Linked DNA regions of Oryctolagus cuniculus. The protein of the gene in region 1 interacts with the protein of each later gene in a biochemical or structural test. Links are inferred from orthologs where the notes say so. Each region holds a gene or a part of one and is shown on either strand. Other genes may lie near its edges. The genes, in order: MED1, RARA, VDR, ESR1, ESR2 and THRA.

Region 1 (3,500 bases):
ACAAAGAAAGGTCTTCCATCTGCTGGTTCAGTTCTCAAGTGGTCGCCTCGGCCAGAGCTGAGGTGATCCGGAGCCAGGAGCTTCTTCCGGGTCTCCCACACAGGTGAAGGGACCCAAGAACTTGGGCCAACCTCCACTGCTCTCCCAGGCCACAAGCAGAGAGCTGGATTAGAAGAGGAGCAGCTAGGACTCCAACCGGCACCCCATATGGGATGCTGGTGCCGCAGGTAGATCTTGGCTTACTATGCCACAGCACCAACCCCTCTTTAAGTTTTATAGGCCTTAGGGCCAGTGCTGTGGCAGTGGGTTAAAGCCCTGGCCTAAAGTGCCGGCATCCCATATGGGTGCCAGTTCTAGTCCTGGCTGCTGCTCTTCTGATCCAGCTCTCTGCTATGGCCTGGGATAGCAGTAGAAGATGACCCAAGTCCTTGGGCCCCTGCACCCACGTGGGAGACCCAGAAGAAGCTCCTGGCGCCTAGCTCCGGATTGGCACAGCTCTGGCCATTGTGGCCATCTAGGGAGTGAACCAGTGAATGGAAGACCTCTCTGTCTCTACCTCTCCCTGTAACTCTTTCAAATAAATAAAATAAATCTTTAAAAAAAAAAGTTTTATAGGCCTCAAAAATTACTGGTAACACTTATTAAGTACTTCTTGAATAAATGGGCCAAAGAATGTAAAAATCATGAAGAGAATACTGAGCGGTCAACATTTGTATCTTAATGAGATTATTATATTGGTTCTTGTTTTTCCAGGAATTCCATTGTTTGAAACTCAGCCAACCTATGCACCCCTGTATGAGCTGATCACTCAATTTGAGCTGTCAAAGGACCCTGATCCAGTACCTTTGAGTCACAACATGCGATTTTATGCTGTAAGTAATGCCCACTAAAGCTAGAATGTAATAGGTTTTATTTAGACCCAAGATGAGAAATTTTCTTCATAACATTATCGAGGTCAGATAACTTCCTTTTGGACTGTTGGATCATATTGTGTTTCCTCACTTACGCAAGAAATTACAGAAATCTCTGAAACCTATTGAGGAAAAAAGGCATGAGTTTTCAAGTCAGGAAGCAACAATGTTCAATTATTTGTTGAAATTTCATATGAAATTCTCTTAATGGCATTCTGAAATTGAGTAAGCTTAGAAGTATGTATTAAGTGTTCATACTATTGAATTCTTTGAAGTGCCATGAATGTATTCTGTGGAAACCTCCTTCAACTACATAAAGAGAAGAAAATGTATAAATTATGAAAGTTTCTAAAATCATGTTTGGGCTTGAATTAGAATTTTTAAAAATAATAGTTTCGCAATTCTGCATTATATGGAGTGTTTTATTAAAAAATACAGATTTTGTACTAACCATTTAGAAATGTTTTTAGTAAAGATTTCTGATGTAATTTTTTTATATTTTCATTCATAGAGAAGGCAGAGAGACAGACACATATTTCCCATCTGCTAGTTCATTCCCCAGCTCTCTGCCATAGTTGGAAAGAAGCCAGGAACCCAGAATTCAGTCTGGGTGTCCTGCATTGGTGGCAAGGACTCAACCACTTGACCCATTACTGCTGCTGCCTAAGGTGCCATTAGCAGAGCTGGAGTCTGCAGTGGAGCTGGGACTCAAACACGACACTTTGATACGGGATGCAGGCACCCATGCACCATCTTTACTGCTATACCAAATGCTTGCTGCCACGTTAGCTAATGAACCTAGTAGCATAGAGCTTTTACTAAATAGGGATCTTTCCAGAATAACGAGTAATTGGTTAGCATTTATAATACTAACTACTTGAAGAATTTACTGTGGGGTTTTATTGCTCCCCCAGATTTTGCTGTACTTTTTTTGAGGAGCAGGTTTCTTCCGGGACAGCTTGTGGTTGGAGCACAAAGGGAAAGTAAATAGTACTCACTGATGTTCTTTTTGCTCAGGCTCTTCCAGGTCAGCAGCACTGCTATTTCCTCAACAAGGATGCCCCTCTTCCCGATGGTCGAAGTCTGCAGGGAACTCTTGTTAGCAAAATCACCTTTCAGCATCCTGGTCGAGTTCCTCTTATCCTCAATATCATCAGACACCAAGTTGCCTATAATACCCTAATTGGAAGCTGTGTCAAAAGAACTATTCTGAAAGAAGGTACTGCCTTTCCTTTTGATATATTTAGTGAAAGATGGAAACTGACTACTCCAGTGGTTTTTCAAAATTTTTTTTTTGAGTTTTTTTTTTTTTTTTTTTTTGACAGGCAGAGTGGACAGTGAGAGAGAGAGACAGAGAGAAAGGTCTTCCTTTTGCCGTTGGTTCACCCTGCAATGGCCGCCGCGGCCGGCACACCGCGCTGATCCGATGGCAGGAGCCAGGTACTTATCCTGGTCTCCCATGGGGTGCAGGGCCCAAGGACTTGGGCCATCCTCCACTGCACTCCCTGGCCACAGCAGAGAGCTGGCCTGGAAGAGGGGCAACCGGGACAGAATCCGGCACCCCGACCGGGACTAGAACCCGGTGTGCCGGCACTGCAAGGTGGAGGATTAGCCTAGTGAGCCATGGCGCCGGCCCTTTTTTTGAGATTTTTATTATTTGAGAGGCAGAGTAACAGAGACAGAAAGGTATCTTCTGTTTGCTGGTTTGCTCACCAAATTGCCCTAACAGCCACGGCTAGGCCACACCCAAACCAAGAGTATAGAACTTCATCCAGGTCTTCCACTTGGATAGTAGAAGGCAAAGCACTTGGACCATTTTCCACTGCTTTTTTAGTTGAATTAGCAGGCAGATGGATCAAAAGTGGAGTAGCCAGGAATTGAACCCAGACTCTGAAATGAGATGTTGGTATCTCAAGCTGCTGCTGAATATACTGTGCCATAGTACCAGCCCCTCGAGTGGGTTTTGAATTTGGTGGCCCATGAAAATCACCTATGGAGTTTTTAAAACTCCAGGTGCATGAGTTTCACCCCAAGACGAACTGAATTAAGACTCTAGTGGAAAGATTAGCGAAGGCAATGTAACCACAAATTATTCTGATGAAATCATTGTGTAGATTGGCATTTGGGAGCCTCTTTTTTTTTCCTCCTTATTCTGGCATATTCTATGTGTTTTTTTGTTTGTTTTTGTAAATCTGAACTCAGTCCCAACACGGTTTGTCTCTCTCTTTTTAAGATTTATTTTATTTATTTGAAAGGCAGAGTTACAGAGAAAGGTAGAGACAGAGAGAAAAGTCTTCCATCCACCGGTTCACTCTCCAAATGGCTGCAATGGCCAGAGCTGGGATGATCCAAAGCCAGGAGCCAGGAGCTTCTGTGTTCTGCACGTGAGTGCAGGATCACAAGCACTTGGGCCATCCTCTGCTGCTTTCCCGGCCATAGCAGAGAGGTGGCTTGGAAATGGAGCAGCTGGAACTTGAACCGGTGTCCATTTGGGATGGGCTTTAACCCACTGAGCCACGGCACTGGCCCTCTGTATTTTAAGGTCAATCATGATAATCAGTTTCCTGGTTTATGAACACATTTTCTTTT
Region 2 (3,998 bases), about 800 kb from region 1:
CCGCTCCCAGACGTCCAAGAATGTGAAGCACGTGGATGCCCGTAGTGGGGGGAGGGGGAGATGCTTATCAGCCGGCCGCTGGGCTAGGGGCCTTCTTCCGCCGCCGGGCTACACCCGGAGCCACCCCCACCCGCTTCCCAGGAGGAGGAAGGGCAGCACCGAGGGCCCAGAGCCCACTCCCCAGCCCTCCCCGGGGGCTGTTTAGGGAGCTGCAGAGGAGAGGGCGCCAGCTGGATTGGGAAGGGGAGTCGCTGGCCGGGGGCCCGGCTGATTTCCTGCTGATCTCCTCCAGGAAACCGGCCCCTTGTGCGAGCCTGCGAACGAACGGCTCTGGGGCGTGGGGAATCCGGAGCGCTCAGCTCGCCCGGCGGCCAGGAGGGAGGTGCGGGGGAGGGGCGCCCTGGCGGCGGCGGGAGGGGACGCCTGGCTTCCTGGTCCGCTTCCAGCCCTCCGCTGGGCGCTGGAACTTTGAGCTGAGAAGGTGTGGTTCTTCTCCCGCCTGAGCCCTTCTGCAGCTGGAGAGGGATTTGTGGGCCAGGGCCTCTGGGTAGGGAGGTTAGGGGAGAGGCCGGGTCGGGCGGCCTCTCCCTGCCTCTCCCGAGTGCAGGAGTTCCTGCTGTATCCTAACTCGCGCAGAAACTGAGGGGCGCCTGGGGTCCCTCACACTTTTGCCTTGGGTCGTTTTACCTGGTCTTCCTAGGCTGCGGGCTGGAGGCCTTGGCCCCAAGCTCTGGATTCAAAGGGCAGAGCCAGAAACCTCAGAGCTGGGTTACCTGGGAGAAAGGTGGGGATATTCTCAGGCTGGGGTGTTGCAGCCTCAAGGGCCTGCGGTCAGTGGCCGGAAGGGAGGTGGGAGGTGTCACCGAGTCCGAACTGTAGCCCCTGCGTGGGTTGTCTCCCCCGTCTTGCCAAAGATCATTTTAAAAAGCACTTTCCTCCAGTTCTGCACACACCCTCTGGACTTTGCCTTAGCTCCCAATTTCTGTGTGCCTTTCCCGGGCCTTAGAGCCCTGCCTCTCCCCGGGCCCCGCCTCCCGGCCTCCACTCTGCTCCCTGCCCCCTGCCCCCTGGGTCCTGCCGCTGCTGCTGGTCTGGCTCATTTTTGGGGTGGGGCCTTGGGAGGAGGCGGGGCCCAGGGCAAAGGGTGGATTAACAAGGGAGGCCAGTGCCTTCTTCCTCTGCTTGTTGGAATGCTGAGCGGGGATTCTAGGCCATGGCTGCCCCCCCCATGTCCTTGACACCCCCCCCCCCAGTCTGGATTGTCTATTGTTACTGTTTTTACGTCTTGGAAAAAGTTAGCACAACAAAGGGCTTCTTTGTGGCTCACCCCTCTGCCTCCTGGCCTCACCCAGGCCCCCCAACCCCAACCCCCCCCCCCCCAGCAGCTGTCCTCAGGCCTCCCTGCCTGTCTGATTTGCTTGTCTGGCCTGGTGAGAATGAGATGGGGGGGAAAACCAGGGCGGTTGGGTGTGGGGATGAGGAGCTGAGGTTCTGGGAGAGGTCAGTGAGGAGTGAATCTGTGGACCAGTGGGGGACAGCATCTACTGTCCCTTTGCTGCAGGCTGGTCTCTGGGCAGGGCAGGGCTGTCAGGCTGATGTGGGCTCTGGTGCCAAGGCTGTTAGCCTGGGTCTCGGGCGTGTCTGCGGCTAAGGGGTGACGCGCGGCCGTGAGGTGTTTGAGCCAGGAGCTGTGGGCTGGGGCGTGGAGCTGGGCTGTCAGGATCGCATCCTCACCCTTCCTAGGCCTTGCACAGGTGGAGGTGGCCAGGGCTGCAGGAGAAGCTGTACGGTTCTCATCCAGCACACTGCACCCCCCACCCCTGCCAGCCCATCCCTGTTCTGCCTGGGGCGATGGCAGAGAGCCAGGCACTGGGGAGGCTTTGGTCAGTGGGGGACAGCTCCTGCTGGCTAGGTCACCCCTCCTGGCTGCCCTCTGGGGGCTGAATTAACAGGAGGGGAGGGGTGGTAACCCGGACATACTGTTGAAGCCAGACAGACAGAGCATTGATGGGAACAGACCCCCCTTTGTCATGCTGCCTCCCCTGAGGCAGGGGGCACCCAGGGTGATGGGCTTCTAGGGCTCTGTCCCCAGGTGGTCTCTCCACCTATCTCAGGGGACCCCCACCTGCTGTGCCCCAGCCTTCGGGATTCTTCTTTGTACACCCGCCTGGGTCTGCCTGGGTCCTCGGCCTGGGGATTGTTTGGGTGGAGGAGGGGCCCTGGCTGTTGGCAGAGGGGGGTGGAGGGAGGGGCAAGCGGAAGCAGAGGGGGTGAGGGAGTGGCTGGCTTTGAATATCCTGTTGACCCCCATTTCCTCTGCCCCCAGCTTGTGTCTTCTCTCCTCCCTCCTCATCCAGCCTTAACTCCTTCCTAACTTGGGGGAGTACCGGCCAGGCCACCCGAGGCAAGGCCTAAGAATAGGGCCGGACCACCTCCTCCCAGGCAGAGCCCAGTACACAACACACACCCACATCTGATGGTTTATGATCTCAGCTTTCTGTGTTGAGGACGGGGTCCTGGGGAAGTAGACGGGCGTGATGGGGTCCCAAGGCTTCCCCCAAGCTTGACTGGGGAGTCCCAGCTTTCCCGAGACCGTCCCTGCCAGCAGTAGTGAGGCTGGGAGAGGCTCTGGAGGGAGACCCTGAGCAGGGCGGGGCAGGGCATCAGGGATGGCGCCTGGTCTCTAACCGCCCCCTCCCTTTCTCTCTCTCCAGCCATTGAGACCCAGAGCAGCAGTTCGGAAGAGATAGTGCCCAGCCCTCCCTCGCCACCCCCCCTCCCCCGCATCTACAAGCCCTGCTTTGTCTGCCAAGACAAATCCTCTGGCTACCACTATGGGGTCAGCGCCTGTGAGGGCTGCAAGGTGAGACTGGGGACTCTGGGAAGGGCAGTCTTGCTTAGATAAATGGGATGTCCCCGCTGTCACGCCCTGGGAGAATTCGGTTGAGGGCAGGGGCTGTCCCTGATGCTGCTGCTCTTGCTTGTGTGTGGAAGTTGCCAGCAGCCTTGAAGGAGGAGGGGGTGCCAGCAACAGAAGCTCCCCCATAGATGAGCAGGGCTCCCCCCAAACCAGAGGCCCCCTCCTGCCCGAGCTCCCCCCGCCCCCGTCTCCATGCTCCAGCCGGCAGGGCGTGCTCCGCTCTGCCACCGCTGCCCAGGTTGCCATGGTGAGCTGGCTGCCGACCGGCTCTTGGCTGGGGACCCAGGAGGCCTGCCCCCGGCGGCCCTGCCTGCACCTCGCCATGACAGCCTGGCAGGCGGCAGTTAGGAGCGGAACCCTGCCTCGGCTTCCCCTACAGGTGCTGAGGCTGTGGGCTCCCCAGCGTCTGCATTTTTCCCGTCCTCATGTTAGGCCCCAGCAGCTCTGGGCCTGGCTGGTCCTCTTCCTAGGACCAGAGCCTCCACACCAGTTTCTCTCTCTAGATATTAGGGTTTGGAAGCTGTACAGTCTTGGGGCTCTGGGCTGCCCATCAGCTACCTGTCGGTGTGGGACACAGGTTCAGGGCACAGCTCAGGACCTAGACTGTGTGTGTCTGCCTGCTCTGTCAGGTCGTTTCTGACTTGTTCCTCATCTGTGTCCCTGGGGAGCCTGGGTGTGGGGCCTCTGACCAGCCCGGGTCCATCTCTGAGTGCTTCATGCACGTCTGTCCGGGTGGTGACTGGGTCTTGCCACCTGGCTCCTGAGCGTGTGTGAGTGCATGAGTGCCTCCGTCTCTGGCCAGCTCACGTGTCTGAGTCCAGGCTGTGGGCTCCAGATTCCCGCCTCTGTCCCAGCCAGCCCCACGGGTTACAATTCCTGACTCAGCAGCAGCCCGAGGTCCTTCTCCCTAGAGGGAAGGGGTCAGGTGTGTGGATGGAGGCTGGGGGAAGACTCCTGCCCACCTCGTAGCGCTGAGGCAGTAGCGGGCTTCTCCCAGGGGTGACTCATCGCCCCATCTTTTCTGGCCTGCTCAGGGGGGTGATGGGCGAAGGCTTGGGAGCAGCCGCTGGCCTGGCCC
Region 3 (3,500 bases), on another chromosome or scaffold:
CGGGAGACGCGCCTCACCCCTCCCGCTGCTGCTGGCCTGGCACAGGCTTCCTCCTGGCCACTCCTCAGCCGTGCCCTGAGCCGCACACGCCCTCGCGGCCTCTCAGCTCCTGGCACTTTGATCCTCTGGGCACCTCTGCCCGACTTCTCTGCCTCCCTTCCTGTCCAGAGTCTGCGAGAGGTCCACACACAGCCTGCTGATGCCCCTCACGATCCTCAACCTCCCCACGCCACCCTGTGCTCCCTGCACCCCTAAGACCCATCCTTACAGGGTCTGGGGACTCACAGCTGACACACGAGGTGCAGGCAGGAGGAAGGCAGCACGGAGCAGCAGACAGAAGATGCACCACCGGAGGGCCTGTGGGAGGAGCTGACCAGCAGCGGCCTCTCGTCCCCGGCCAGAGCAACGGGACAGTGGTCTCTTTCCCCTTCCTTCCTCCCTGGGGCCCGACTGAGTCTTGGGCTTGCCGGCTGACCACAGTGGCTCCCGGGCCACTCGAATGGTTGAACTAACGGTCAAGCATAATGGCCAGGCCCCAGGGCCCAACAGGAAGCAGTGTTTCCGAGAACCACCGCCGAGGGCCTCGCCCCTGCACGGCATGCACTTGCCACCTCACGCCAGAGCACCAAGGCCACCGTCCCGGGACCCGAGTTCCACTGACAGAAGGAACAGCAGGGTCCTCCAGCCATGGGGCAGGGGCAGGGAGGACCCGCGGGACCCGCGGGGGTTCTAGGTGCATGGTGGCCGCGGAAGCTGGGCTGGCGGGCACTGAGCGCCACTCCAGGGACACGGCTCATCACCAGCGGCCCATGCGTTTCCTGCTCAGCTGTGCCGACCGCTCCCGTCTTGGTGTCGGGGGACTGCGGTGAATCCTGACACTGCCAGCAACAGTCATGAGAGCGTGAAAGCAGGGCCGTCGCTGCCCCGCTCGTCTGCCCGGAAATGGCCTCAGGCGTGCTGCAGGGGGCAGAGTCCACAAACAATGAGGATCAGCTCTGTGTGTGCTGTGTGTGCTGTGTCTGTGTGTGCTGTGTGTGTGTGCTGTGTGTTGTGTGTGCCGTGTGTGCTGTGTGTCTGTGTATCCCATGTGTGCTGTGTGTGTGCTATGTGTGCTGTGTGTACTGTGTATGCTGTGTGTACGCTGTGTGTCTGTGTATGCAAACCTGTGTGCTGTGTGTGTGCTGTGTGTCCTGTGTGTGCTGTATGTGTGTGCTGTGTGTGTTGTGTGTGCTGTGTGTGCCGTGTGTGCTGTGTGTCCCATGTGTGCTGTGTGTACTGTGTATGCTGTGTGTCCTGTGTGTCTGTTTATGCAAACCTGTGCGCTGTATGTGTGTGCTGTGTCTGTGTGCTGTGTGTGTGTTGTGTGTGCTATGTGTGCTGTGTGTGCTGTGTGTCCCATGTGTGCTGTGTGTGTGCTGTGTGTGCTGTGTGTACGCTGTATGTCCTGTGTGTCTGTGTATGCAAACCTGTGTGCTGTGTGTGTGTGTGTCCCATGTGTGCTGTGTGTACTGTGTATGCTGTGTGTCCTGTGTGTCTGTGTATGCAAACCTGTGAGCTGTATGTGTGTGCTGTGTGTCCTGTGTGTGCTGTATGTGTGTGCTGTGTGTGTTGTGTGTGCTATGTGTGCCGTGTGTGCTGTGTGTCCCATGTGTGCTGTGTGTGTGCTGTGTGTGCTGTGTGTACTCTGTATGTCCTGTGTGTCTGTGTATGCAAACCTGTGTGCTGTGTGTGCAAACCTGTGTGCTGTGTGTGTGTGCTGTGTCTGTGTGTGTGCTGTGTCTCTGTGTGTGTGCTGTGCATCTGTATGTCTGTGCACGTCTGTGTGTGTGTGCTGTGCCTGTGTGTCTGCCTCTGTGTGTGTCTGTTCATGTTTATCTCTGAGTGTGTCTGTATGTGTCTGTGCACGTGTCTCTGTGTGTCTATCTCTGCGTGTGATTGCTTATTTTTATAGATCAAACAAAATCTGAGCCAAACCACAGACTTGCTGGTTCCTGAGAAGGTGCAGTTGGCTCAGTCCCCAGGACAGGAACAGTGAAAACACTGGGCAGACGGAGGGCAGGGGACAGAGGCAGCTCCTGCCCCAGTGCCCAGCCTTGCAGACTGTGGCTGTGGGTGTGTAGGGAGGGGCCGCCCTGTACCCACACCGCAGGTTTCTGGCACGCGCACGGGCAATGCCATCTCCCACACCTGGCCTTGGGCACGACTCATCCTCCGTCTCCCAGTCTTCACATAGCTGTCTCCTGGGGACCCAGCCCCGCAGCGTGATGAGGGCGGCAACCACAGGGGCACTGGAGGGATCTGGGGAACTGGCGACTCCAATTCCCCAGATCGACAAGCAGCCAGCTACACATCTGGGGCAGGAGGCTGGGGGGGGGGGGGGGTGAGGCATGGACTCGGCGAACCAACCCAGCGGCCACAGAGAGCCCCACGCAGCCAGCTGCCAGACAGCAGCGCCCAGGTCACGGCTCCCCTTCAGGCCTGGGAAGCAGTGAGCGAGGGCGGCTGCTGGTTGCTGAGACCTGCGACTCCCACAGGGCACAGCTCCACCCAGGCACTGGCCCCGCACACTCAGAAGACGTTTACCGCCATCTGCGTTCCAAACACCGTGGCACCCACGTGCGACACCTCCTCAGCCCTCACGCCAGCTGTGTGGGTGGGACACTGACACAAGCACACGCGACTGAGAGGTCACAGCGGCACCCCCGCCTGTCTTAGGCTGGGGTCTCCCTTTGGCCCCCGCAGCACTCTCCCACACGGGCTGGGACCCAGGCTGTCGGGGAGAAGCTGGCAGAGCACAGGGTGGGAGGGTGGGGCCAGCCCTACCGGGATCCTGAGCTCGTGAGGCCTGGGGCTTCCGTGGGGCACTGGGAGGGCAGAGCTCAGGTGAGCGACGTCCCGCGGAGCCCAGGATGAGAGAAGCGAGCCCTGGTCAGGAGCCTGCGGCTCCCGTGACACGACACCCCAGGGCGCCCTCCCGGGAGAACCTGCCCCCCAGCCCTGGTGTTGGCCTCACCTGAAGAAGCCCTTGCAGCCCTCACAGGTCATGGCGTTGAAGTGGAAGCCGGTGGCCCGGTCACCGCACACCCCACAGATCCGTGGCACATTCCGGTCGAAGTCGCCAGGGTCAGGCAGGGAAGTGCTAGCTGCCACGGCCTCCATCCCTGCAGGAACCAGGCCAGGGCCGCATCAGGCAGTCAGGCGGGGCTGGCAGGAGGCCCTCCTGGTGCAGCCCTCACCTACCGCCCTCCCGCCCAGTCACTCGGACACTGCACCTCAGGCTCCTCTGGGCCGGGCATCCAGGTCCCAGAGTACGCCCACGCGTGTCGGTGCTGACGGCCCTCGGGACAGACCTGACCTGGCCGGCAGCTCTGCCCTGCCCTGTGTGAGGCAAGAGCCTCATCCCCCACTCAGAGCCCCCCCCCATCTCACACGGGGGCTTCTGTGCCTGGCCAGAGCACCCAGCCTTCGCCGAGTGGCCCGCACCTCTTCTCAGGAAGCAG
Region 4 (4,076 bases), on another chromosome or scaffold:
TGCTGTTAGAAAGGCATAGTTCACTGATTCTGGCAAATAAAATAACTGAGGTATTTAATTAATTTAGAGAAATTTTACTGTAAAAACACTTAAATTGTTAAACATTTTGTTAAATAATTCTTTTCACCTGAAATCATAACAAAACATTAAAAAGCTAACATCCTGCAACAATGCATTAGTATACAGAATGATTTCTTAAGTGAATCTTGTTGAAATATTCTTTGTTAAAGTGAAATATTCTGCTCCATGTAGTGTGAGCAAGTTAATCTCAAATTTTTTGCATATTCTACTTATTTTATGGGCCAGCTCACAAATATAAAGACTGAAGACTGTTAATATTTATTTCAAGATGTCTGAAAGCATTAATCATGAGACTTTCGATTTTCTCTCTTTGCTGGGCCAATTGAGACTTGTCTCTTACTCAACACCTGTCAACCTGCACTGGGTCACTAAAATACGGCAACAGAGACCTTCCCTCTGCCCCTTTCCTCCACCGTTCTCACTTCCAGTACATTGTCTTTCTTAAGACTTGTAGAAAAACTAATATATTTTTTAAAATGTCTTTTAAAGAATGTATTACATAAGCCGCAGTGGACTTTATAAGCTATTAAAGTTTCAGTACTTAAAAAAATTCATTAGTATTTTTGAGCCCATTTTCTACTTTAGTATGCTTATCTCCATGCTCAAAACAAACACAAACAAAAAGGCCACCACTTTATATCACTGCAGGAAATGCCAGGCATTTTAGGGGAGGATCATACGGCAGAGTTTAAAAGCCACAGAGGAGCTAAACGTGTGCACATCGCCGAGACCCTAATTAATCAGTGACGAGAGGAGCGGAGCAGGCGGTGGAGCCCATGGGTGAATAAGAAAGTAACGAAAAGGCCTGCAGAAGATATGGCCTCGCCCTTGCTTTCAGTTGTAGCCAATTTTGGGTGAACAAAATTTATGTCCTGAATGAATGCTTTATTAGTTTTTTCCCTACTTGATCCGTCTGTCTAGACTTCAAGCTTTATTTATGAGTAAAGAAAGAGTTGGCTGAATTATGTAAAAAATTGGGGGTAGATTAACGCATAACTCATCCCTTGTTAAACATCTATCTTCACGGAAGTGCTAGGAAAGTTACAGTTAGGCCTGGCTTCGAGAAAGGAAGGCCACCCCCTCCTCTATTTTTTTTTTTTTTTAAAGGAGACTTTCCAATCCTAGTCAAATGGTGGTGCTAGTTCTTTATTTTTGAGTTACTGCATTTCCTAATTTCATGGTCATAACAGCTTCAGAGCAGCGTCTACCAAAACTGAAAATGCAGGCTCCATGCACAGAAGCTCTTTCACAGGCTTGAAAGGTTCAGGCTCCTTTCTCCTGCCCCTTTCTGTAGCATAAGAAGACAGTCTCTGAATGACATTCTTCTCAAGTAGGTACTCCTATTTCTTCTTTCTTTATATTTTTCCTTGTGCTGTAATGTGCTACTGTTTACAAGCAGGCTGGAACCCCAGAGCTTTCCTCTCATGTGAAAAGCTGTTCATTTTTCTCATACCACCCCAGAATATTTTGCAAAGTTGCTGGCAACCATTGCTGCAATGTTAAAAATATGAACTCTAAACTTGGTACAGTGGAAGTTCACTTTTGGAGTAATATTCAGCTGAGTCAGAGGGCAGCACCATTACCCTTTGCTCAGTACAGCACTGACTAGCTTCCTGCCTGCCCTAGATATCCTATATTTGTTGGATCCAGCTCTTGCTACGAGATACTGTATGGCTGAACTGTGTCGGAATTTTGAAACTTCATCTCTGGACTGATGGTGCACCAGCATGAACTCCCTACCTGTTTTCTTAATCTTTGGTGCCGTAACTTATGTGAGTCTGAACTAAGCAATCGGAATGACCCTTTACTTGTTTCCTGAAGGCAGTCAGGTTTTCTACAAAGCTCCACAATCTAGCAATAACGCGAATGAGACAGCCTGTCTTGAAATCACCCTAAAATTTTAGGAAAGGGTTGTTGTTGTTGTTGTTGTTGTTGTTGTTGAATATTGCTGTCTTGGTTTTCTTGGAGGTGAAAAGAAAACTACTGATGACTTTTGGAGTAGGATGGTGTGTAATGACCCCACCACATAGAGTGTGCTATTCAAGTAAGGATGTGGGAGTCCCGAAAGACAGGGCAGGCTACTTTCGTTTTGGTGAGAGGAATGCCATATGTTTCAGGAACCTTAGTTTAAGTTGCAAATTTCATGTTTGGTCAAGAAGGAAATCATATTTTCTTTTCACAGACATGCCCGTAGATACTAAGATGATTAAAAAATATTTTAAAAAATTCCTTAATTTGGGTTGGGCCCTCTCAGGACTTTAGATCACCACACTGATTCCTGTTCAAAGGTGCGGTTTTATGCACCTCTGAGAATAAGTTTGCCGAACAACTGTAAGCAGAAGGTTGCTGGGAGACTCCTCTGGTTTTGAATGTGATTTCTATATGTACAAATTCATGTCAAGTGATTTAGGAATTCCAGGTAGAAGCATTTAAACAGAATTAAAATGTACAGAGAGCCAGATGAGATAAAGTTGAGCGAGAATGTCTGAGATCTAGAGTTTGAGAGCCCATTTCAGTTTCACAAAATTCCTTCCTATTTCTCAAAAGCAAATGTTTGCTATGATTTTTGTTACTGTCCTGTGAAGACTGCCCACTGGGCCTGGATATGTATGGATATAGTACTGTAGAGGTTGGATACAATACTGGAGAGGTGGTTAGATTTCCGAGGAAATTAGGAATAAATATGTATGCATCAGAGATACCATGTGCAGGGAAAATTCTAGATATGAGCACACAAAGGTTATATTTGTTGGCAGGATATTTTTCTCAGTTGCAAGTACTTGTATTTTTTGTGACAGTCAAGGAAAGGGGTAAAGTTCATGTGTTTTACACTTTCAGCAAAGAGAAAGTTAAACAACTCTCTGATTTCAGTGAACTGTTTCTCATCCAGTTAAGGATTTAGAGCTAACCAGATCCTATTCCTTTCCCCAAACACTCTACACCCTGTGTGCTGTAAGTGTTACACCAGGTACCTGCTGACCATTTTTGCTTGGTTGTCCATGGGTCATCTCTGAGTATTTTTCTGTTTTCGTTTAGTGCTGTTGGTCACAGCAGCTGCTGTGTAAAGGGCCAGGTGGTTGGGCTTTAGTTTCTTTTGAATAGAGAATAGCTTGGTTCCATGGTTGCATATTAGATACAAGGCAAAATAGGCAGGACGGAGAGTGACCAGCTCTGGGGAGACCATCATGTTGTTTATAAGAACTTACAGCACACGCTTCATCCATGGCACCTGAGCTGTGGTTCTGTTCTACCACCTTTAGTAGGGCTGGGTCTCCATCACTATCCCCTAAGAAAGAATGTGAAGCCCGCCTCACCCCTGCACAGTGTCTAATAAAGTGCTCTTTTAAAAGACAAGTGCTTCACTGTTCGCTTTTGCTGCGATGATAGTGTTGGTCGTGCGTTTGCTTTCTGGGCACTGTCTCAGTAGATTTCTTCTGAATCCTTCTCGGTGGACCACAATATAGTGAAACCTTGCATGTCAGTGGATTTTCTGGATCTTACCAAGCAGTGAAAATTTTGTTTTTCTTTTTGAATGTTTGTGACTATTTTGGAGGACAAATGGGGTTGCCCTATTCATTCATTCCTCAAAATATTTTGCCGCATACTCTCACTACTTTCTAGGTGTGCAACTTATTTCACCTCTGACCTCAAATTTCTCATCTGCAAAGTACGGATACTAACAGTAGCTACTAGATATAATCATGTGGAATAAATGAGATTAAGCCACTCCTTAAAAGTCTTTTTATCTTCAAGTGTTTGAAATTCAATATGAGGAAGGCGTTTCACACCACTTCTGGTACTCAGAAAATGTTGACTGAGTACATGAATAAGAACTTAAGAACTCCAGGTCAGCACCACAAGTGCTAGGATTTTAAGTCCGTGTACCATAGTGGGTGGGAACTTGACCTGAAAAGTTAAGGGCAGTCACTCCAGCTAGCTATGCATGGCACCTGTTGAAATGCTGCTGCTTGTTAATGGGTATAGGTTGGAGGAGG
Region 5 (4,158 bases), on another chromosome or scaffold:
TGGACTCCAAGTCACATGGAGACGAATACTATACTCTGGTTAAAGAGAGGGAGGTGGGGAGAGGGCAGAAAGGAGAAGAGAGGGGAGGAAGCGGGCAGCTGCCTGGCCAGGGAAAGCTCAGGTGGGTGAAGCAGAGGCCGGGCCCTGGCCCCACGGCGGAACCGGCCCAGCAGGGAAGCACAGGCAGCACCAGACCCAAGCCCGGCCACTTCCTCGTTTTGCTAGGGCATATTTCGTTTGGAAAGTATGATAAAGGGTTGACCGTTTGATCAATGAAGGTAATTTTCATTTGGTTTAGCTTGTCCAAATATCAGAACTTTGATCAGAATTCATGCTCAAAACAACATACTTCTGCCTTTAAAGGCTGAATGAAAAGCACTGCTTTTATTTTTTATTTTTTTAAAGTACTGCTTTTAAAAAGTTTCCCGTGGGGCCGGCCTTGTGGTGCAGCGTGTAAAACCACCTACAAGGCCAGCACCTCATGCAAATGCCGTCTGTGTCCCAGCTGCACCACCTCCAGCTCCCTGCTATTGGGCTGGGAAAAGCACTGGAAGATGACCCAAGTGTTTGGGCCCTGCCGCCCATCTGGGAGACCGGATGAAGCTCCTGGCTTTCACCTGGCTCAGCCCTGGCCACTGTGGTCATTTGGGGAGTGAACCACCAGATGGAAGCTCTCTCTATATATATATCCCTCCCTCCCTCCCTCCCTCCCTCCCTCCCTTACACTCCGCCCTTCAAATAAGAAAAGAAAGTAATGAACTTTCATATCCAACATGTTCTCATTTAACTTTCACTGTTTTAGAATTTCATCTCCCTCTTCTCTTCCCCTCATTAATGTCTTCCCTTCAGAGGTACAACGATCATTGAAAATGCCCATTAGACTGAGGCCAGCGCTCTGGCTGTAGGCCAAGTTTCCACCTGCCCATATGGGCACAAGTTCTAGTTCCAGCTGCTCCTCTTCCTGTCCAGCTCTCTGCTGTGGCCTGGGAAAGCAGCAGAAGATGGCCCAAGTCCTTGGGCCCTGCACCTGCGTGGGAGACCCAGAGGAAGCTCCTGGCTTCAGACTTGCCCAGTACCAGCTGGCTGTTGCGGCCATTTGGGGAGTGAACCAGAGATGGAAGACCATTCTCTCTGTCTCTCCCTCCCTCTCTCTGTAATTCTACCTCTCAAATAAATAAATCTTTAAAAAAAAAAAAAAAGAAAGTATTATTAGACTGAAATAATCCATCTTACCTTGCATTTAAAGAGTACAAATATTCTTTTCCACTTCAGGAAATTTCAAATGATGTCTATATTAAATGGTTTCCCACCAACTTTATAATGGGCTGGGCGTCTGGCCTAGCAATTCGGATGCCTGCACCCACATGGATGTGCCTGGGCCCTTCACTCCAGCTCTCTGCCGATGTGCACTCTGGGAGGCAGCAGTGATGCCCCAGCAGGTGGGACACTGCCACCTACAGGGCGGACCATGATGGAGCTGCCAGTTCCCGGCTTCAGTCTGGCCTGGTTCCTGCCACTGTGAGCATTTGAGCAGATACAGGGATGCTGCCTATCCCTCCTTCTCTTTCTCTGCCTCTCAAAAAATTTTAAGCTGTACCAATTGCCTGTCTTTACAGGTTTCAGGCGGCTAGTATTCCTTTAAGTTGTAGTACTGCCACACTTATTTTTATCCTGGGAACAATTTTTCATGAACACTATATTGTGATTTCACTATGAGTCTAACCTAAAACTAAAAAATTTGGTATTCAAACTTAGGAAAAAAGGAAGATAATTTTTATAATATAAATACAGCAGCATTCAAAATAGTGAGCTGTGCCTGCAACACTCACCTACAAGTACAATTTTTCAATGAGGACTGGAATATTAGAAGAGAACATGGGGCCAGCGCTGTGGCATAGTGGGTAAAGCTGCTGCTCGTAGAGCCAGCATCCCATATGGATACGGGTTCAAGTCCTGGCTTCAGATTGGCCCAGCTCTGGCCATTGCAGCCAACTGGGGAGTAAACCACTGGGTAAGAGACTCTCTCTCTCTCTCTCTCTGCCTCTGCCTCTCTGTAACTCTACCTTTCAAATAAATAAGTCAATCTTAAAAAAAAAATAAAAGGAAGACTAAAACAGTGCATCACGTTTCAGGTGCTCCAAGTAATGAATGACTTATTACGAGAGTTGCTCAAAAAGTTCAGGGGACAATGGAATTAAAATGTGAACTCCAGCGCCACACACACACTCCACGAACTTTCTGAAGGGTCCTCATAAATGAAGACACTGGGAACGCACGTCCGTCTTCTCGGTAACCGGGAGGGGAGCCGAGCCCCCACGGAATACGGCTCAGAACGAAGGCCGGCCTCACCTGTTCACAGGCGAGGGGTGCTCCAGCGGTCGCACTTCACACCACGAAGGCTTCTGAGGTTCTGGGTACAGAAGTGACGACTGACAACGGATGGCTAAAGGAGACAGGTGGCCAGGAGTCGGCCACAGCACATCTGGACTTGTGGGCTGTCGCCCCGGCCCACGGTCCGCCTCACTGGCGCCGCTGGGGACGCTGTAATTCATCATGGCAGGGCTGTAGAAGGTCATGGTGGGGTACTCGTGGTGGTCCTCTACGTAGGAGGAAGGGACGTAGAGGGGGCCGTGCTCCAGGGGTAAGACAGACTGACTGCAGTTGTAGGAGGCAGGAGAGTGAAGGCTGGATGGTGAGTTTTTGATATCCATGTCTTGACTAGGTAGCAGCTGTATAAACTCCTTGCAACACGAGGCACGGAGGGACATTACAACATCCTCAAAGGCTCATGGGTGGGGAAAATAGCTGGAAAGAGAAGCAAAAGACATTGCTAAGTTACACCTGCAGTTGCAACAGCTGAAAAGTGTTAAAACTTTTTTATTTTAAAAATATTCACATCTAAATAGGATTACAAATACATCCTGAAAGATGTGTATGAAAATATTAACTCAGAGGGGTGGGAATAAGCGGTGTGCACTACTCATCTTCTAGTGTATTTCTTGGTTGGTTTTGTTGTTATTGTTAACCACAGGAAATTTTTCATGATGGGAACTTATCCTACAGGAGTATTTAAAAAAGCAGAAGATTAGTAGTGGATGTTTGGCTTGGCGGTTAAGCCATCAGTTAGGACACCGCCCTCCCATATCAGAGTGCCTGGGTTCAAGTCTCAGCTCCACTCCCATTTCCAGCTTCCTGCTGATACACCCTGGGAGGTGGCAGATGATAGCTCAAGTAGTTGGGTCTGTGCCACCCTCATGGGAGAGTTGAACTGAGTTCCTGGCTCCGTGCCTGGCTCACATCTAGCAGTTGCCACAAAGTGTTTTTTCTAGGATTAGACAAATTTATTTGAAAACTCTTATTGGAAGAGAAGATCAATTTGTAACAGTGCAAGAATTAACAGATATTCAAATACACTATGAATCTCCAATAATAAAAAATACTGAATAACAGCACATGGAAAGACCGACCAATGCAACTGTGTCACTTATCATTCTACTGTCTTTCAATTTTAAATGCATCCTTCAATGTACGGTCTATGGTAAACCATGGAATTCCTTCAAGGAAGGAAAAGTGCGTGCAATACTGAGCCTTTTCAGTAGAGGGCGCTAGAGGCACACTGCGAGACTTGCTGTAATTCCTAAACCCTGGGAAGGATGTGAGACCAGCCCAGCCACAGGTCCAGAATAAGGTTCCTCTGTGACCTTCCCACTCGGTGTACTGATAACCTTCCCCAGTCACATGTTCAAGCTGTAGCCCAAAGGGTAGCCCACCACAAAATAATGAGTGAAGCGAGACTTGCCACCCTCTAGGGTCTGTGTGTCACTGGGCTCCCAGTGCACACCCATGCCACTCGCTGCGGACTGCCAGCTGCCCACTTGCATTTGGAAGGGGCAACTCCAGAGCAGCCCGGCTTATCCCAGCCAGCATCACCGCTAGCTAGTGGCTGAACCTCACTTTCCCTATTGAGGTCTGAACCCCTCCAAGTTTGTCCTTCCTTGGGTACTCTTCCTCAGTCCCAAATATCAGAGTTCTTCATATCTTACACTTAATCTCCTATTATAATTAGTAATTCTTTATGTTAAACTTCCCCTGTTGGAGGTATTATGTAGTGTCTACCTCCTTTGGACCCTGACTGCCAAAGGAACACAGCAGAAATCC
Region 6 (4,125 bases), about 560 kb from region 1:
CCCAATGTGGATCAACGGTTGGTCAGAACTCACACTGAACAAATGACTCTGCCCAGTTATAAACCATTAGCAGAGCAGCTTCCCTAATACACACACACACACACACACACACACACAGCTCCCCAAGAGCAGTGCAGAGACAGGGCCCCGCCCTGGGAGCCGTGGGAAGGCTGTGGCCCCCGCTGGTAAAACTGGGCTAATGACAGCGGTGTGGGGGGGAACCGGTGGGGCAAGAGGGGGTGCTGGGGTAATTAGACCTCTGCCTGGCACTAGGAGATCCTGAGATGAAAGGGGCTCTGGCGTCACTTGCATGGTTTTATGTCCATGCGTGCAGGTGTGTGTGTGTGTGTGTGTGCATGCGCACACGTACGCATGCATGCAGGGGGATGGGGCTGGTAGGAGACCATCCCTCTTTTGGGGAAGGGGGTCCATTTGGGTGTAGCCCACCCTCCTCCTCAGAGTGGCCTTGGTACCCTTGGATTTAGGTGAGGCAAGCATGGGAGGAAACACAGCTCTTGTGGGGCTGGCAGTGGAGAGGGTACAGCCAATCTCGCCCCCTCCCCGGGCTCAGCAGGGAGAGCAGACTGTTGGGGAAATGGCTGGTGTCAGTGAATAAAAGAGCCGACGTGGAGAAGGGTGGCGTTTGGAAGAGGAGGCAGTGGATCGGGTTTGGCTGTTAGGAATGAGAGGGGTAAGGGGGAATGTGCTCCCCCAGAGGATTAAAAACGGCGTGACTGAAAGTAAAAGGACCTGCGGGAGCACCTGCCCAGCCCTTGCAATTGGAGCTTGAGGAAGCTCTGGCCGGGCAGGCTGCGGGGATTTCCTCAAGGTCACGCAGGGAGTTACCGGCGGAGAAGGGACCCGAACTCCCAAACAAACTCCACTCGACCGAGCACTTGGCAGGCAGACTCTCCGCCCCGTTAACGCGGTGCAGGTGGCTCGTCCACGCTCCCTCCTCCTGCCCACGGTGCAAACCTCGAAAACCCCCCAATCCTCCCGGCAGGCAAAGGCTATTTTTTTTTTTAAGTGACAGCTTTTCCAAATATGTCACCAAGTACAGCTCCCGCCGGAGCCGCTTGCCGGAGTCCGAGCGGGGCGGGGGCAGAGGCGGCCGAGGGGCTGCCGGGCCGCTGGCCGTGGTCCCGGGGCGCGGCGTGGGGCGGGGGGCGGGCGCCGGCGGCGGCGAGGCGGCCTGCAGGGAGCAGCCGTGAGCCGGCCGGGCGCGCCGAGCCCGAGCCCCAGCCGGAGCGGGGCGGGGGAGGGAGGAGCCAGAGCGGCCGCCGCCTCTGCCGGAGGAGCCGCGGGGCCGCCACACTCGCCCCCCGCCCCCCCGCGCTCACTCGCACTCACACCCGGGCGCTGGAGGCGGGCGGCCCGGGCCCCACCGGCCCCCCATGGACGCCCCCGGCACGGGGCGCTGAGACCCCCGCGCCGCTGCCCAGCCCGGTCCAGCGCGCCACGCCGAGGTAAGGAGGAGGGAGCGAGGGGGCATTAATATGCAAATGCCTCGCGATTGATTATGCAAAGCCGCGGGTCCCTACGGCCGGCTCCTGGGCGGGCTGGGGGCGCCCAGGGGGTGCCCGCTGCCAGCCTCAGCCTTCCGCGGCGCCCAGGTGACCCTGTCACAGACCGGGAGCTTGCAACTGACGCCCCAGGGAAGGGAGGTGTTGCTGGGAGGTCGGTGGGCCCTGGGGTTCGCTGGCGGAGATGGCGTCTGGGCCTCCCCCTCGAGGGCCCGCCCGGCCTCAGTCCGGCCGGTCTGCTGCGCGTTCCCAGGCCGGGCCCCGCTGCCGGCCGCCCGAGCTCCCCCGCCCGCCGCGCCGCGGTTTGTTTACGGTGCTCCGGAGGCCTGCCCCCCCCAGCCCCCACCCCAGCCTCGGAGGCCGAGCGGCTGCGGAGGGCAGTGGGAGTGCAGTGGGGAGGGGTGGGCTTGCACCGGCAAGGGGAGAGAGAGACAGAAGTCCCTCCTCCCCTCACCCTCTCCCCAATTAAGCATGGCTCTCTGGTTGCAACACTCCTAATTGCAAAAACGCGGCTGGGGGGGTGGGGGTGGGGAGTGGGGGTTTGGGGGCGCAGTGGGGGCCCGTGCTGGCTGGCGGGGCTGAGAAAGAGAGGGAGAAACGGATCTCTGTTGTGCACCCCCCCTTGTCTCCCTCCCCTTGCAACGTGTCTCTGGTGCCCCTTCTCGGTCTAGGGCCCTCCCTTGTCCAGTGTGAAAGAAAGGCCTGGGGGTGGGGGGATGGCGGAGGCAACGGGGAGAGAGCTGCCGGCTGGGTGGGGGGTTGGGGGGATAGAAACAGAAGGAAAGCCAGTGAGATGGGAGCCTGCCCCTCCATGCTGGCTCCGGCCCCAGAAGGGGGAGGGGATGAAGGGGGCTGTTGTCCAAGATGAGGGGAGAAGCAAAGGTGACATACAGACACAGAGATATGCCCACACAGAACAGCCACATGCACACCCAGGGACACCCAGGCGGACTCAAGGACAGGAGCTGCTGGACACACCCACATGGGACAAGGAAAGAGGCAGGCTGCCGCTGCACTGTGGGAGCCCAGAGGGGCAGAACACACCCACGGGAGACCAGCAGCAGGCAGACGGACCCATGCACATGCCCACACGCAGGGTAACACAGAGATGCTGTCACCCACATGGGCGAGGGGGAGTTGCTGTCACCCACACAGAAAAAGTCACTATGGCATGCATGCATGCACACGGAGCAATTGCACACAGCCACACCGTTACAAAAGACCCTGTCACTCACAGGCACACACGTGCTTGCATGAGCACAGTCACGCAGGCATCATCCCCTGGCGTGACAGTCACTGTCACTCTGTCAAATGCAAGCACAGTTACACATCAACACATGTGTACACAACTTAGCAACAAGTATTTTCTTGGATTCTTACAGTGGAACTCGGAGGTTCTGTCGACAGCAAAACCGCTGCTCCTGAGTAAATGGAATGTGTGTGTGTGAAGAGATTTTTCATGCATCACGATACAAAGCATGCATTCCTGATAGCGCACTCGCTCTTGGTCATTCTGGCTTGTCAAATCACCCTACTGGGAAGCCGACTCCTTAAGACCTGGGAGAATCGCTTAGACAGCTCTGGATCCCACCCAGAGACTAGCATAGGGGCTGCTCTGTAAATACTTGTTCATTGATTGACTGTGGGCAGTGCGGACACAGGTGCACTCGTTGGCACGCAAGCCCATGGACTCAGGTGCACCGCACATTCACAAGGCTCGGGCCATGCTGTCACAGGTCCACGTGGACAGTGTGTCAGACAGCCCCAGGTGCACACTTGCTGCCAGCGCAGTCGGGCACACCTCCATGCCTCGGTGACAGCCTCCCTCCAAGCTTCCTCCTGTCTCCTTCTGGCATCAGCCCTTTGTGAGAGTGGGCGCTTTTTTTTCTTTTGGAGGGACAAGAGAAACAAGAGCAAAGACAGGGGGTGTAGGGGGGTTTCAGAGGGCCGAGTCATGGGCCTGAAGCAGTGTCCAGTGACTTCTAGCAGCTGGGATTGTCCTGGCTGCAGGGGTGGGGGTGGGGGCGTTGTATGGGGGAGAGCTGGCTTCCAGGGAGCGGCTCTCACCCGTCCCCTGAAAGCTAACAGGGGACTCCCACTGCCCTGCTGAGGATGATTTTCCTGGGGACAACTGAGTCCCTGCCTCCCACCGTGCGTCTGGCCCCTTTTCCCACCTTGGCCTTTCTGTCCAGACTTGGACGCTTTCCTTAGGAGGCCGAGTGCTGGCGAGTGTCTGCGTGAGTGATGTGTATTTTTGACTTGGAATTTCTCTCTAACTCTGTCTCTCTTTCTGTTGCTGTGTCCCGTGGTGTCTAATTCTCCCTCTCTCCTTGTTCCCCTGCCAGTCTGTTACTCCCTCTTGCCCCAGCGCTCCCCTGTCCACCCCTGTCCTTGTCTCTGTCTGCCACTGCCCCTTCCCTGGGAGCTGGGAACTGGCAGGGATGGTCTTCATACTTTTCCAGTTGTTAATACTCAAACTCCGGCCCTCTGCCCCGGCCCGCCCCGCCTCTGGGGTCAGCGGGAGGTTGGGGTGGGGGGCGGGGGGCTCAGCTGGCTGCTCAGGACATCCTGTGTTTCCTTAGTGCTGCCGCTGCACAGCCCA

The links.
Region 2: the proteins of MED1 (region 1) and RARA are reported together in a solved structure, tested with the Homo sapiens proteins (2 studies listed by BioGRID, with this or other methods). The link is inferred for Oryctolagus cuniculus from reciprocal best matches to the Homo sapiens genes MED1 and RARA.
Region 3: the proteins of MED1 (region 1) and VDR form a complex in vitro, tested with the Homo sapiens proteins (5 studies listed by BioGRID). The link is inferred for Oryctolagus cuniculus from reciprocal best matches to the Homo sapiens genes MED1 and VDR.
Region 4: the proteins of MED1 (region 1) and ESR1 form a complex in vitro, tested with the Homo sapiens proteins (6 studies listed by BioGRID). The link is inferred for Oryctolagus cuniculus from reciprocal best matches to the Homo sapiens genes MED1 and ESR1.
Region 5: the proteins of MED1 (region 1) and ESR2 form a complex in vitro, tested with the Homo sapiens proteins (2 studies listed by BioGRID). The link is inferred for Oryctolagus cuniculus from reciprocal best matches to the Homo sapiens genes MED1 and ESR2.
Region 6: the proteins of MED1 (region 1) and THRA form a complex in vitro, tested with the Homo sapiens proteins (6 studies listed by BioGRID, with this or other methods). The link is inferred for Oryctolagus cuniculus from reciprocal best matches to the Homo sapiens genes MED1 and THRA.

What each region holds. Positions count from the first base shown.
Region 1 is NC_091448.1:22,931,233-22,934,732, forward strand, and holds part of MED1 (mediator of RNA polymerase II transcription subunit 1), read left to right. Parts: intron 1-753; coding exon 754-872; intron 873-1,928; coding exon 1,929-2,130; intron 2,131-3,500. UniProt on the Homo sapiens protein: Component of the Mediator complex, a coactivator involved in the regulated transcription of nearly all RNA polymerase II-dependent genes.
Region 2 is NC_091448.1:22,126,471-22,130,468, reverse strand, and holds the start of RARA (retinoic acid receptor alpha), read left to right. Parts: upstream 1-1,198; 5' UTR 1,199-1,213; coding exon 1,214-1,430; intron 1,431-2,714; coding exon 2,715-2,863; intron 2,864-3,998. UniProt on the Homo sapiens protein: Receptor for retinoic acid. Retinoic acid receptors bind as heterodimers to their target response elements in response to their ligands, all-trans or 9-cis retinoic acid, and regulate gene expression in various biological processes.
Region 3 is NC_091440.1:137,504,845-137,508,344, forward strand, and holds part of VDR (vitamin D3 receptor), read right to left. Parts: intron 3,162-3,500; 5' UTR 3,160-3,161; coding exon 3,014-3,159; intron 1-3,013.
Region 4 is NC_091436.1:16,248,111-16,252,186, reverse strand, and holds the start of ESR1 (estrogen receptor), read left to right. Parts: upstream 1-1,276; 5' UTR 1,277-1,411; exon of another isoform or gene 1,412-1,415; intron 1,416-1,677; exon of another isoform or gene 1,678-1,853; intron 1,854-4,076.
Region 5 is NC_091451.1:6,167,827-6,171,984, reverse strand, and holds the start of ESR2 (estrogen receptor beta), read right to left. Parts: upstream 2,801-4,158; 5' UTR 2,769-2,800; coding exon 2,350-2,768; intron 1-2,349.
Region 6 is NC_091448.1:22,366,864-22,370,988, reverse strand, and holds the start of THRA (thyroid hormone receptor alpha), read left to right. Parts: upstream 1-1,325; 5' UTR 1,326-1,466; intron 1,467-4,125.